2 linked regions of the Schizosaccharomyces pombe genome follow. The protein of the gene in region 2 interacts with the protein of the main gene of each other region in a biochemical or structural test. Each region holds a gene or a part of one and is shown on either strand. Other genes may lie near its edges.

Region 1 (7,581 bases), on a different chromosome or scaffold from region 2:
AACTGATTTTTTCTTATTTTAGATTGAGGCGAAACTTGGTACATTAATTGACTTGGAAACTCAAAATCGATTTGAGTTTCCGGTGATGAATGAAACTATTTTAAACCCGGAATTTAATCTTCGTACTCGGTTTGAAAGTGATATGACCGCTTCCGAGCATAAATATTTGAATGAGTTTCTTAATCAGGCATTTCGTGATTCACAAAAACCTGGACGGCTTCCTTTTGCCTATAAGCATACAAAGCAAGTAGATTTGTTCTATGAAACTGAAGATAACTCACGAGATAAAATACGCGTCTCAAAAAATCAAAGTGACAATCAAGTTTTGGCCTGTGTGAAAAAGCGAAGAGTTGCTGATTTATTTTTATATTGCCCTAATGATGCTTTTGATATACGAATTTCCATCAGCGACGAATTACCTGTTTCAATGCCTTCAGGTAATCAACAACCAAGTTTGACACGACTTAAAGATCGCGTTGGCTATGTGCATCAGGAAATTAAAATTGATTTGACTAAAACTACTCAAAATGACCCAGTTTACGATACCACTGAACGTCATGAGCTAGAAGTTGAGTTTGGTAACATCGCGGATTTGAGAGATCGTGCTCAAAAGGCCAAAGATGGAATGGAAGCTCCTTTGTTTCGGAGGGTACAGTTGTTTATGGACAATGTTCGTATTTTGAGACGAGAGCATTCTTAATTCTTTACACTTTTGCTACTTATTTGACATTCTTAAGTCATTTCTTAATAATTGTTCCTTGCTTTGCATCAGAATGTAAAGGGGTTTTTAATTACTTTAATTTAATCATCATTTCATACTGGGCAATAATCAAGGTAAAAGAAAGTCACGTTAGGTATAAACCCCCATGCACATATTTTAATTTTCGATTTTGTATCTCGGTGATTCTAAACTGAGGCTTAATCTTGGATGATTCTATTTTTTTTTTTACCTATTACGACGGGTAGTTAGAATTTCTACGTACATTTTCTAAATGTACACCTAAATTAAGGATCAGCTTTGTCTGATAACATCATTCGTTATAATTACTGTATCTTTACGAGAGCAGCTTACAACTCCTATATTCCTTTAATTGCAAAGTTTTCAGTTACTTCACCCAATAAAAATATTTATTGAAGAATTTTCATACCGAATATACAAAATAGCATTATAAAATACAAGTGTCCAAACCTTTGATTGCAGGTTATGTTTTAAAAGCGGCCTCAAACACCGGTACTTCCAAAGCCATTAGCACCGCGGACTGTAGCCTCTAAGCTCTCTACAAGTATGACTGGTGGATTGACAATTCTTTCCAAAATAAGTTGGGCTATCCGGTCTCCGACCTTTATAGGAAAATCAACATCACTGTAATTGAAAAGTAAAACACGAACATGGCCACGATAATCTGCATCAATCACACCGGCGCCAGTGTCAATGCTATGTTTTGAAGCTAATCCGCTTCTTGGAGCAACACGACCATAAGTCCCCTCAGGAACAGCAATTGCCAAATCGGTATCCACTAAAACTTTTCCTCTTCTTGGAACTATACATTCAGCAGCCGCGTACAAATCATATCCAGCAGAATTTGCAGAGCCTTTAGTAGGAATGGTTGCTTTTTCAGAAAGTTTTTGAACGAAAAAACTCATGTTTAAACTATAAAACTGTGTAATTTCACAGACAATAGAATTCTTGATTGGGAATGAGTGTTTGCAATAGATACTGGCGTTGCATATAAATTTGAAGTTACGCGACACGTTGCGGTTGACGGCGCGTCGCGTTTGTTTACATTTAGTCAAGATATACACCGTACAACATACCTAATATATAAACGTAGACAGTGTATAAAAACTTTCTAAAGAGGTAAACGTTTATAGGAATTATTTCTTCATATTTTATTTATTGCGATAACTCTTAAACCTCAATTTTATTACTAAACACTCCGGAATATTCGACAATTTTCAAAAACCAACAGACGTTATTACATAAAAACACCCAAATTTCATATAAAACTAATGTTCACAACAAAATTTTACTTTATACAGACTACTGATTTCTGGAAAGCGATTGTAATAGAAGATATTCATTAGTTACATATATAAACTAGTGTGCCCAAATCATTAACAGATATATAACGTAAAACCCTAAAACCATTAAATTGCTAATAGACTCAAAGGTCCAATTGCCAAAAAAGATCATTAAATTCGTAGAAAGGTACAGGTACACACGACGGGAGATCCAAAAAAAATAATTATCATCCTCATTAAATTATAAACAGATCTTAACATTTGAATAGCCGCCCACAGTATAGACATTAATGGTTGATTTTGAGGAAGAAGACTGTGTTTTTGAAAAAATTCCTATTTAATCCTTCCGAAAGAATGAAGAAATCTTTCGTAATACAGAACCGGAAGAAACTTTTCTGGGAGTATATCTTGCATTAGTAGCATATTGAGAATATCTCCGACTTGGAACTGGAGATGAACATAAAGGAGCAGAAGCAGATCTCACATTAGTTATGTTCGGCTGCATATTACTGATTACAGGAAAAGATATGGGACGTCTATTTTGATTGCCTGATCCTTGAACAAAGCCTCCAACCTGGACATCGTCCAAATTGGTTAGCCCATCTATTGATGGTTCAGGAGTTGAAAGTGAATCAGGAGTGTAGTAGCCACTGGCTGTGCTAGACAGAGTGGTGCTAGGAAAGATGCGGACATAGCCATACCGATTGAATGGTACGGATTCTAATTGCTCAAGGGTAGGAGTGGGGAGAGATTGTAAGTCCAGAGAATCAGTTCTAACATTATCAGTTGAATAAGTATACTCTTCTGGTGGACAAACAAACATATAATTATAGTCATCATCCAAAGTCGATGGGTTTGAAACTACTTCATGACAGGCATAGCTGTCATAATCCTTGTCAGAAGACACCCTGATCGGTATTGGAGATTGAGACATTTGATTTAAGGCTGAAAGCGGACTAGAAACTCTTCTAGCAAGTTCATCTTCAAAATTACTACTTTTGCGAGAGTTTGTCGAAACATTGGATTTTACTAACGATGTTGTTGAAATAGAAGCTTTGGTGAAAAGATTATTGTCGTGAATTAAATCGTAAAGACTGAGATATTTATTTTCATCAAAACGTTGTTTTTTCAACATATCATCGCGCAAAATCTCGGATAAAACTTTATACACATATTTTTCGTCGTTATCATCTCGCTGTTGAAGACGACGAACGACTTTTTTAGAGGATGATTTTTTCCAAAGCACACACATGCAATCAACTACTAATGGATCAATTTCGTCAATTGACAGTGAAGGGGTAGGAGGGGTAGTGCTATCCATAGAGCTCAATGATGTACAGCCCATTAGAAATGGATGAGAAAAAACTTCCGGAATTGTTATACGCGTGCTTGGATTTACATCTAGCATTCTGTGTAACAAATCTTGCGCAGCCGAAGAAATTGAAGAAGGAAGATCATATGCGCCATGGCGAATCTTATTATAAATAACATCTGTGTTTTGACCACCAAAGGGGAGCTTATTCGACAACAATGAATACAAGATGACACCACAAGACCAAACATCAGCAGGAGCTCCACGATATGGTTTGTGAGATACAATTTCGGGAGCCAAATAATGTAAAGAGCCGCAATAATTCTCAAGACAAGAGTCATTTGGTTCAACAGTGGCCATGCCAAAATCAGCTATTTTAATTTGTTGCTCATTTACCTTGATGAGAATATTCTCAAGTTTTAAATCCCGATGGCGAAAGCGAAAGCGATGACAATGCGCTACAGCATCAAGAATTTGGGAAAGATAATGCGCAGCCTCTCTTTCGCTCAAAGGTCCATGTTTGCGTATATAGTGAAAAAGCTCACCATCAGGGACGTACTCGAGTGCTAAGTACATATGCTGATGATCGGTCCAAACATCGTATAGTCGAAGAATATTAGGATGGCGCAACAAACGCATCATTAAGATTTCCATTCCTATGGAGGCATATCGAATAGGGATAATTTTGATGGCAGCCAAATCACCAGTTTTAGCATGCTTGGCAAGACGCACACAGCTAGTGGAACCAGTCCCTAAAGTCTTCCCAAGACGCCATACGCCAATAGTATTTTTGTGTCGCTTCACCATTCAAATCTAACCTTTTATTAAGGGAAAAGGCTTTCCAAAAGTAAAATTGCAGACTGAATAATAGCAACTTCAGAAAATCTGAAATACTTATGATGAAAAGTAGAATAAATGTCGAAAAAGTAGCATGAAATTTGGAATAAGTAAAGGAAAAAGTGAATGACACCACGATACAAAATAGGGTGTGATCACAAAATAGATACTGGAAACGAATTAATAAAATAAGAGTGCCTCATAAATAACCTAAAGCACTTTTCTGAGTGTATTGTAGAACAGAAAAGTGAAACGTGGAACGGAAATAGACGGACCTTGAAAAAAAAATGGGAAGTAGCACAAGAACACAAATAACAAATGTAAGTTACAAGACGTTTTGAGTAACAGCAATAAAAAAAGGTAAAGACAAAGAAAAAGAAACGAAGGGGAGCGTAAAATAAAGAAAGTATGTAAAGTGTATAAGATTCGTGATGTATAAATCCAATAAAGGTTAAGTTAATGATATTCGAATAAGGATTGAACTTTCATAAATTAAAAGAGAGAAGAAACAAGAAAGGAGAAAGTAAAAATGGAAATATTGGGGCGGTCAAATAGTTGAAAAAGGTAGAATAAAATAAACTAACGGATTTTAATTCAAACCCTGTATAATCAGATAAAAATATGGAGAACAGTAAGTAAAACAAAGAAAGATGAATGAATAAATAAATAATATGTAGAACAACCCACTATATAGAAGGCCTACAGATGTTTCAAAATATCGATCTACAATATTAATACAAACAGGATCCCAGCAATTCCTAAAATCGAAAACAATGCTGAGTTCTTATGCAGAGTAGTCCAAAAGACGGAATTGGCCAAGATAAGTTTGGCAGAGGACAACATGAATGCTGGAGGAGCGGATATAAGTGTTCAAGAGTAGGGAAGGGTGGGGCACTACTTGGACTTGATCAGGGAACATATGAAGAGTGTATTGAAGGCTTACGATTATTTCGGCGGATCACGATAGGATGACTTAAGGAACGGAAGCAATCCACTACTTGGTTTCTAGTCCTTGAGGGTGGTAATCTCAGGCTCATAGTGCTGTCTTGATAAAAACTTGAATATTAACAGCTGATTTATAGCTGTAGAGCAAATTTTATTTAGTTTTTCAGTTTCGCTTTATGAAGTTTAATTAATATTCATATTGTAGTAAAATCGAACCGTTAAAGTTGTCTTTTCTTCTCTTATTTACATTTTCGTTAAAAGCAACTTTAGCAGTCTTTTCTGCTTCTTTCACATTTGTTTACGTAGTACTCGTTTTGGCAATCTAGGAGCAAGTTATTGCAATAGATGAATATTTTTTCTTGTTTTACTCGTGTAGTTTTAGCAGGGAATTCCAGTTTTTCATCGAAAAGTAACACGACTTGGTAGCACGGTCAAGAACCCGTTCTACTTCGGGGATAACCAGGGACATGATGCATACCATATCTGATAACACATGCCATTACACTTTTTTTGAAAATTTGAGCAAAAAAAATAATGAAAACAGGTACTTGAAATCTGACAAGTGTTAGAGCCGGCTTCATGCCAAACATTGAAACTTGCTTCAATAATAGATGAAATCTCAGTATATAATGAATGTATTGAACGGGTTACTGAAGTTCATTTCATCATTATAAGCGAATATTGGATGTTTGAAATCGTCTTCATCCTATGGTATGAATAACAACGACTGTCGTGAAAAGTTGATGAAAGACTATAGGCCCCGCTTAAGAAATTACGATATTATAAAGAATCTATAATTTTCTACAATTTAATTGAAATTTTTATATTTGGAGGCGAAAACTTATTCTTTTTCAGCTTGCTCAACTTTATGTGACTTTTTTACATGGTATATCAACATGAACATTCTTACTGCAAATATTTCAACTAAATAAATTCATTAAATTTTTATTAGACAATAAAAATATACTATAGCAACTTGAGAGCTGCAATACGTGTACGCCACAAACAATTGAGAAACAAACAGAAATTGTTTACACAGTTTCGCTGTTTTCAAAATATAACCACGGGTAAGTAATACAGTTGGCATACAACATTTGGGTAACCTACCATAATTATCAATTGAGCGCAAGAATGGCTTGGATACTGACTCAACCCCAGTCTACTGAATCGACGATGTTTGGAAAATCGAATGAAACCAGCAAAACCGATCCTTCACCTTTAACTATCGGTAATCCAAGTTTGATTATCGAGCAAAGATGTGGTTGGTGCTTGGACAGATGGATCTACTTGATTGCTTGATATTTTTCGGTGTCAGTTCGTTACGCTAAAATGACTAAGAAAAATGAACACAGCCTCGATAAACAAATATCATCAGTGCGATCCAACAGCGGTATTTGTCTGAGTTTCTGGTTTACATTCCGAGCCACATGAAAGATAGGCGTTACAGGGCTCGGGAATGCAGCCGAAGCCGTTCAAAGTTGTCAATAAAGAACGTTTGGTAGAAGTGTCCAACAGCAACGAAGTGTTGATGACTTGTTGCCAATGATGAATTTCTTCACTATTGAGTTGGACTTTGGAATGTGAGTGGTCGTACCAACAACTACGGGTATATGGCCTTATTGCAGTGTAAGATTATCTCATTGTCATACAAAGTGGGCAACTTCATACGCAAGGCGTGGGTTTCATGAACACACAAAACGAATCGAGATGATCATCGTTGGATACTCGCTTGATGCAGCTGCTAACGGAGATGCACAAAGCAATCGAACTTTACCATGACATATCCGAAACATGCTAAGATCTTGTTGATGCATTCGTTGACGTTTTTTCAAGATGTTTCGTAATTTCTATACCCCCGGGTGGAGTGGAGCTGCACTTACGAAAGGATAAGTTGAAGGCTGATTTTTCACATCCCTTCTTTGCAAAAGTTTCCAAAGATGAAAAGTGGAGATGCTATTACGCTAGCACAATATTCATCATCATCTGATCTGTTGTATAAAACTTTTTCATTTCATAACTTATGAAGTCAATAATAGTTTTTGAAAATGGGATTTCCTAATTTAGTCAATTTTGTGTTCCACGTTGCACGATGGTTAAAAACGGTAATTTACACTACTGCAACATAAGAAGGACTTGTAAGATATAGACATTAAAAAATAACCTCCCAAGGCGAGACTCGAACTCGCAACCTTCTGATGACCATCATAAGAGTCAGACGCTCTAAACCGATTGAGCCACTCGGGACTTGCTTGTATTGTGTTAAATTATGTACAATTATATAATAAAGTCTTTAAACAATGAAAGGCATTGAAGGTGTTCAGCTTGAATGAATTCTTTTTAGTATGTTCATTGATCTCGAAAGAAAAAAGAAATGAAATGAAAAACTCAAGGTTTGTAAGTATAACTTTTTTGGTTTTGAAAACGCTTGAATATGATGTTGAACATTGATAGCAGGGTAACCAGTA
Region 2 (6,885 bases):
TAAGAGAAAAAAATTAAAGAAGATCATGAGTTAGTTACTCTGTCATATGTCAGGGTACTGTTTTTATTTTTGCAAATCATGTACCTTTAGCTTTTTGCAGAATGGCGATTTAAAGAGTTATGAGAAGATTGGACAATATATATTTATAGTATTAAATTCGAATCTTGTTTACTTCGTCTAGCAATGCGATACGCATGAATCGGGGTTTTATTAGATTTGTGTGGTATCTGTAATATACTGTTATAATTCGAATCAAGGGAGTTTCTTAAAATACCCAATCTTATTACGAAAATGATTTATGCAATCAGGGAGATTTGATGAGCGAAGCCTATGTATTATTTGAATAACAGTAACGTTACTGCAAAAATTTAAGTAGTTATTTGAATGTTGTGCACTTTTCATAAACATAGATTTGCAATATGCATCAAAAATTTGTAACGCAATTCTGTACTGCTTACAAACAATTTTATTCACGAGAAAACTACCAGGCTATACATAGTAACACATACAAGCATTTTTGGAAAGTTAGTTAAAAAAATTCATTAAACTCGGACTACTTTACTCGTTATTTAATCGCTATCGGCTTGCTGTTCCAAGATAACTAATGAATTGATCTTCTGCAGAGCCAATTCCAAACATTGCCGCTTATGCTGCAACTGTAGCTGTGACTTGAGACGAGGATTTTCATTGACAAATGCATTCAACTGTTCAGAACTCAAAGAATGGATGAGACGCTGATCCAGTTCACGTGGAAATTGGTAATAAAACTCAGAAAGCAGCTCAATATTAATAAATAAAACTGCGGTATTAACCAGTTTATCAGAAACGGCATTTAAAAAAATTTCAGGACAGGTGTACTTCGCTTCTTTGTGCTTACAGGCCCTAGATTTTAAAACAGAAATTCGTAATTTTAAAATATCCTCGCGCATTTTTAGATATTGTAACATTCGTCCTTGCTCAAGCAAAGCCGTGCTGTAAGAAGCGGGCAAAGGTTCACTGGAAGTTTTTTGTTCTTCCAAGTACTGCAAAACCTGATTCATGCGTCTAGATCCAACAGCATTTTTTATTTTTTCTAAAGCAGACTGACATAAACCAAGTTCTCTTTGCAATAATTTTTCAGCTTGACCTCGACTAGATTTCCATTCATCGTCGTTGACTTCAACATCATACTTGTAAGGTTTAACACAGTTTTCAACTTGTTCAGAAGTGGCGTGAAATCTCCGTCGCAATATGTCTTGAGCAGCATTCATAATGTACTGCATAGCGGCTGGGTGATCCGCAAATGGGCTAGCTTTCGTAATTTCGTCAATACATTTACTAATTGAATCAGTAACTAGTAAAGTAGAAACTCTTCCCAAACCCATGCGCGTCAAAGTTGATACGCAACTATCAAGTTTGTACTTCCAATGCTCATCCAAAGCATTAGTATGCTTAGACCAGTTACTAATATCATCATCAGTCCAATATCGCTCAGCAAGTAGGTCCATAACTTTCTCATTTAAAGAAGATTTTAATAAATCACGAACTTCGCTTTTACCAAATTTTTGAGTAAATTCCTTGAAAGCAGCTTTGAAAATGTCTAGGCCTTCAGCAATATACGAGTCTGCTGTTAAAACTCTATCGTTGTACTGCACTTTATATTGATAGTTGCACTCCTCTAACTCTGTTCGAATTGAATCGGCGGTATGCTGTAAATTTTTTGACATGGTATATTCCAAAACATTAATAAGGCATTTCCTTAAACTTTGGATGCCGAGATAATTTCCAATTCGAGCATCAGCAAATTGTTGATGCGTAGAAAAATAGCTGTTCTCTTGTGTGCTAACCAGATCAGTTAAATTTTGACCAGCTGAAAAGCGGCCAGTCGGCACGATTCTAGAAATAACACCTATATAACCATAATGTAGAGGATAGTTATTATTGTGCAAAATCGAAATTGCTTTTGAAGGAGGTACCAAGTCCATTTTAGTTACAACACCAATTGTACGTAAACCTAAAGGATCAACACGTCGACTGGCTCTCAAAGCTGCAGAATTAGCAAGGTCAACGTCGGCCGCACAAACAGCAAGAATGATGTTAGGTTCTCTGATATACTTCTCACATAATTTAGATATTTTCATGTCTAAATCAGCAGGTTGATCTTCAGAATGAATTTGTATATAACCGGGTAAATCAATTAAAGATAAATTGGGTATGTGAGACGCATAGATTGTCAAACGAATTGGATTATCGTCCACTCCTTGGCTCGAAGGAACTGCCATATTCAAGTCTGTTAAAATATGTTGAATTTTAGAAAAATCGGTAATTTTACCAAGTTGAACACCAGAGAATTCACCATAGGGGATAGCGGTATCGGCAGAGTGTACTAAAGTAAGCTCAATAGGTCTTCTAGTTACCATATTAGACCCTTTTGGCAAAAATTCATGCCCAACGATTGCTTCCAAAACACTGCTTTTACCGCTGCTCTGAGAGCCAATGACAACTATGCTTGGCAAAGTCACTGCACTGTTGTTATCTTGAATATCTTGTAGAATATTTCGGATTTCGATCATTTTTTTCGTAAACAACATCATGCGATCTTCTTTCGATTCTTGCGCTAATTTTCGTTTTTCGTCGGCTGTAAGAGTATCCTCACCATCAACTGAATCTACACTAAGTATAGAGGCTGCAAGCGCGGCTCCGATTCCAACTGTAGTATCATTAGGATCTTCATCATTATCTGAACTTTTTTGCTTGTCATTAGAATTAGAGCGATGCTCTTTTGCTCTTTCGGCTTGTAATACACGACGCCGTTCAGCACTTTCCTCATCTAACCGAAGAATTTTTTCAAGCCACAAGGGCATACTTATTTCCGGTAATTGGACATTAGTAACGCTTGCTACAGTTTCCCGGGTTTTTTCCCAAGTAGAGTCAAGGATTCCAAACGTTTTATCAAAAATGTCTTTCGTATAATCGCTTGCTCTTTGAACTTGAGCACCAATGTATGCAGCACCTCCAGCAACCAAAGAGAACCCTGCAACTGGGAGACGAAGGGATCTAAACACCAGTCTTGAAATAGAGGAAAAGGAAAAAAATCGTACAGTATTAGCAGAATTAAAAGCTGTAGGAGTTTTCGGTCCTAATATACTGTACGCACGATATGGATGAAACCCTGACAACGATAACAAACTAACACGGCGACGAATTTGTGATGGTCTATACACCAAACCCCTTGGCTTCAGAAAGCTAGACGGCGCCACAGTTCGTATTCTAAAACGTGACAAAAACCAGCTAATTCCCATCTCAGTAAAAAGAAAGAGTAAGTAAAACGATTAGATTGACTTTAAAACAAAGAAACTTCAAACAATTCACACAATAGGATATGAGCCCGTAGGCTCTCTTCAAATGAGAGACCGAATCTTACGGATCTCTAAAGTATTGAAAGATTTCCCTTATAACAAAAAAACTTCGAAAACTTTGATTGTTAAAGGTATATGAATGTACGAAAAAAGCAATTGTACTCGAAATCTTCCTTTATGTAGGAAAGCTTGAGGCAATTAGAAATAACGAAGCTTTCATGTGTTATGTTCGAATTTTCACAATAGAAAGCTTTCCAACGAAATACATGACACTTGTGTTAAGTCTCATTATCCCAAAACTTCCTCTCTAGCTATTACTGATGGATCAAGCTTTATGAGAATGACAGTTCGGTATGGATATTGCGAAAGAGGCACCGAGTGGGCAGAAGCTTTACAAGGCTAGATTGTTAGCTAGAAGTCTTAATATAACAAAAGCTGTGCACAAAAAAGCCAGAGGCTCTTAACAAACGTATATTCAGCAGTTATTATCATTTAACTGAAGAATTGTATTTGTATTCGAGCGAAAGTTACATTTTGATTAGCACTTGGACAAGATTCAACATGGCAGCCGTATATTCATAAATATATGCTTCATTTTCAACTTACAAATTGGGCACTGTCAAGGAATCCTTCGATGATTCCAGCTAAATACGCGCAACAATTTAGCTGATTCATTTCCTTAGGAACTGAAATAAATTTGTTAAGAAGAGGATTGTTATCAACTATCATGTCTATAGCTCCAGTTAGTTAAAAACACGAATAATAAATAAAAAAATTCAAGAACGCGTATGATAGCTTGTTCGAATATTTGCATAGCAATAGAAAACATACATTCATCCGAAGCCTCCTTAGACTTCTCCAAGGAGTCCGCGTGTTTCCCAAAAAGATATTTCCATACAGATGAGTGAATGTATTGTAAAATGCCTAATATACGAGTTTCACGTTTGGGATTTCGCTCCCTCCAAACAACTAATTCAACTAATTTTTGACCAACTCTATAACCGTGTTCGTTTAATCTATAGCATTAGTAAACAGTTCGGTCTGAAATGTTGACGCTTACTTTTCTTCGAATTCTTGGATTCCTGATACTTGGGACTGAATCCTTTGAATTAATTCACTAAAAATAAATGCAAACGATGAAAGATTGACGTCGGAATTCCGAATTTTATTCAAATTTTGCTCATAAACACTCTTTCCCATTAAGGGTGCTGTAGACTTGAGGGATTCAGAGACTGAGCTTCTGAATAATTCTTTATTAGTGGATTGCATTTTATATTTTTAGCCTGAATTAGAAAAGTTCCGGGGAATACAAATGTTGCGTTTTAAACGTTTACTGCTGTGGTTCGTATAAAGTACACTTGTACCTACACTTAATGCAGGGTCCGTACATCGTCTAGCCTTCTAAGACAAAGTGCTGGGATCATTCAAATAGTCACTCGATACAAATTTTTTTAGAAATATTTAGTATTTTATAAAATGATTCATTAAAAAAAGTAACTAAATCGTGCAATCAATCTCTATGCAATAATGCTCAATAGTAGTTAATAGTTACGTTTGACTAATTTGTCGAACAGGACATTCAATAAAATTGTTTTACCCAATACATTAATACATTTGATGTTATGAACAACAATTATACTGCTTAATTGTTTTTCAAAAAATCACATAACAAACCAACAGAAATTTATTTCATATTAACGACTGAGATACACAATATAATTTTTGGCGTGAGTAGAAGGAAGATAAATTTACAATCACAGGAGGGTACTTATAACCATTTTAAACGGTTACGCTTTTAGGGAAAATTTTTCATCAATTTTCATTAGGGTCAAACTTTTCGACTGCTCAGTCACTTAATTCTTCGTCAGATTCACTGAATACTTCTTCAGGTGGAGTATCACGAGATCTGATTTCAGTCATACGTTGTCCCATTCGTTGGCGCAAAGCATTTCGAATTAATTTAGCCTTATCGTTTATATCCTTCTCTTCTTCGTCCGAAGGTGGAAGAGCAGAGGGGTTTGGTGAATATAAATAGACATTTTGTAGAGGAGCAGGAGCTGATACTTCCGAATTCAAATCAGTGTCGTGAAGCTGGGAAAGATTATCAACATCCGAAGCTACAGATGAGCTAAGACGTCTCGCAAATCTTGAGGGACGCTCAGGTTTCTCAATGGTTGTAGTAATCCGGTCAGGATCAAAATCAGGAAATAGTTCAGGACCAAGCTTGTTAATCAGGTCCGTAACTTCTGCAACCAATTGCTTTCTTTCATCCTTTAAAATATATACAGCATTTGCCTTTGAGGGTATCAGAGCAAGAAATAAAGGTCTAATAGATTTGTATATATCCACAGCGACTTCACCAAACCTTAGGGCTGCGTAAGTAACCATTGGAAAAAGAAAGGTAGAAATAATTGGGACAGTATAAACAAATATACTTGAATGAGGAATGAGCTTATAGGAATATATATAATAGCAACATAACAATGCATAAAAAGAATAAAGGATTGGTGTCATACCAAGTGCAACCAGCAACTTCCAAGTAGCTAAGATATCACGTCCCTGGATTTTAACAGAAGAGGCTTTTAGGGCTGCAGCTGCTTTTTTGACGCTGATCCGATGAGCGGCAATAAACACCGGGGAAAACAAAATGGCACCAGGAAGTGCGCCTAAAGCAAGAAGGAATAGTTTGCAACACCGATAAACAAGTTTGTACAAAATCATGAATCTTGAGTATTGTAACGATTGAACTTGATGATCACGTAATCCTAAACGATATAGCTGACGATTATACAAAAGGATTTTATCGTGGAGACGAATTACTCTGGGATCATGTTTAAAATGGTTATAGCCAACAATTAACTTCCTATTTAAATCAACGACTTTAGGGAGAGCAAACTGTATATGAGCTGGCTTATATAAACGTCGGCAAGCTTGAATGACCATTAAAGTTTCATAATCCGGCGCCTGAACAGTAACAGAAAGAAGAGCATCATATATCATATCTAGTACTCCTTGAATAGCTTCGCGACGTTTCTTTGCTTTGTAAAGCTCAACATATTCCGTAGGGATAGACAGTGGGGAGCCAAACTCTAGCACAGCACGTGAGCGAAAGCGATGGGGGTGGAAATAATTCATTCCACAGGGAAGAAGCTGAAGACCACAATCCGGATGCTGAGAAAGAGTTTCCAACGCCATAATTGCAACGCCAGCTTTAAGCGGTAGCATTTCAGGACGATCGTGAGATCCACCTTCAGGGAATAGAGCAATGCATGCACCCTTCACCAGACGTCTACGGACTTCATTATAAACATATGTTTGATCAATCTCAGGAGCCACCTTGTAAGACGACCCTTCGGGAGAAAGCAAAACTCTCTCAGCATCTTCTCCACGAAACTCACGTTTAACATATAATAAGGTATCACTTTTAATGGATGCTATATGAGAACTTCCATAATTATTAGGAAGAAGGAGAGTATCACCGACTGAATGCTTTGTAAACAGAGTATCTTTTCCGTGAATAGCAGTCTTATCACCTTCAGCTACGACA

What was found. Proteins that work in one complex are often made in the same cells at the same time.
Region 1: the proteins of msp1 (region 2) and cdr1 form a complex in vitro, tested with the Schizosaccharomyces pombe proteins (one study listed by BioGRID).

Annotation. Positions count from the first base shown.
Region 1 is NC_003424.3:2,677,406-2,684,986, forward strand, and holds cdr1 (serine/threonine protein kinase (NIM1 family) Cdr1/Nim1), read right to left. Parts: upstream 5,003-7,581; 5' UTR 4,142-5,002; coding exon 2,360-4,141; 3' UTR 2,063-2,359; downstream 1-2,062. Other genes in the region: pct1 (RNA 5'-triphosphatase), read left to right, coding at 23-700; dut1 (deoxyuridine 5'-triphosphate nucleotidohydrolase), read right to left, coding at 1,222-1,644. UniProt on the Schizosaccharomyces pombe protein: This protein, a dose-dependent mitotic inducer, appears to function as a negative regulator of mitosis inhibitor wee1 by phosphorylating and inactivating it.
Region 2 is NC_003423.3:3,476,294-3,483,178, reverse strand, and holds msp1 (dynamin family GTPase Msp1), read right to left. Parts: upstream 3,484-6,885; 5' UTR 3,282-3,483; coding exon 570-3,281; 3' UTR 515-569; downstream 1-514. Other genes in the region: TRAPP complex subunit Trs31, read right to left, coding at 3,627-3,737, 3,945-4,069, 4,170-4,354, 4,399-4,607; sct1 (glycerol-3-phosphate O-acyltransferase), read right to left, coding at 5,184-6,885. UniProt on the Schizosaccharomyces pombe protein: Dynamin-related GTPase that is essential for normal mitochondrial morphology by mediating fusion of the mitochondrial inner membranes and maintaining respiratory chain function.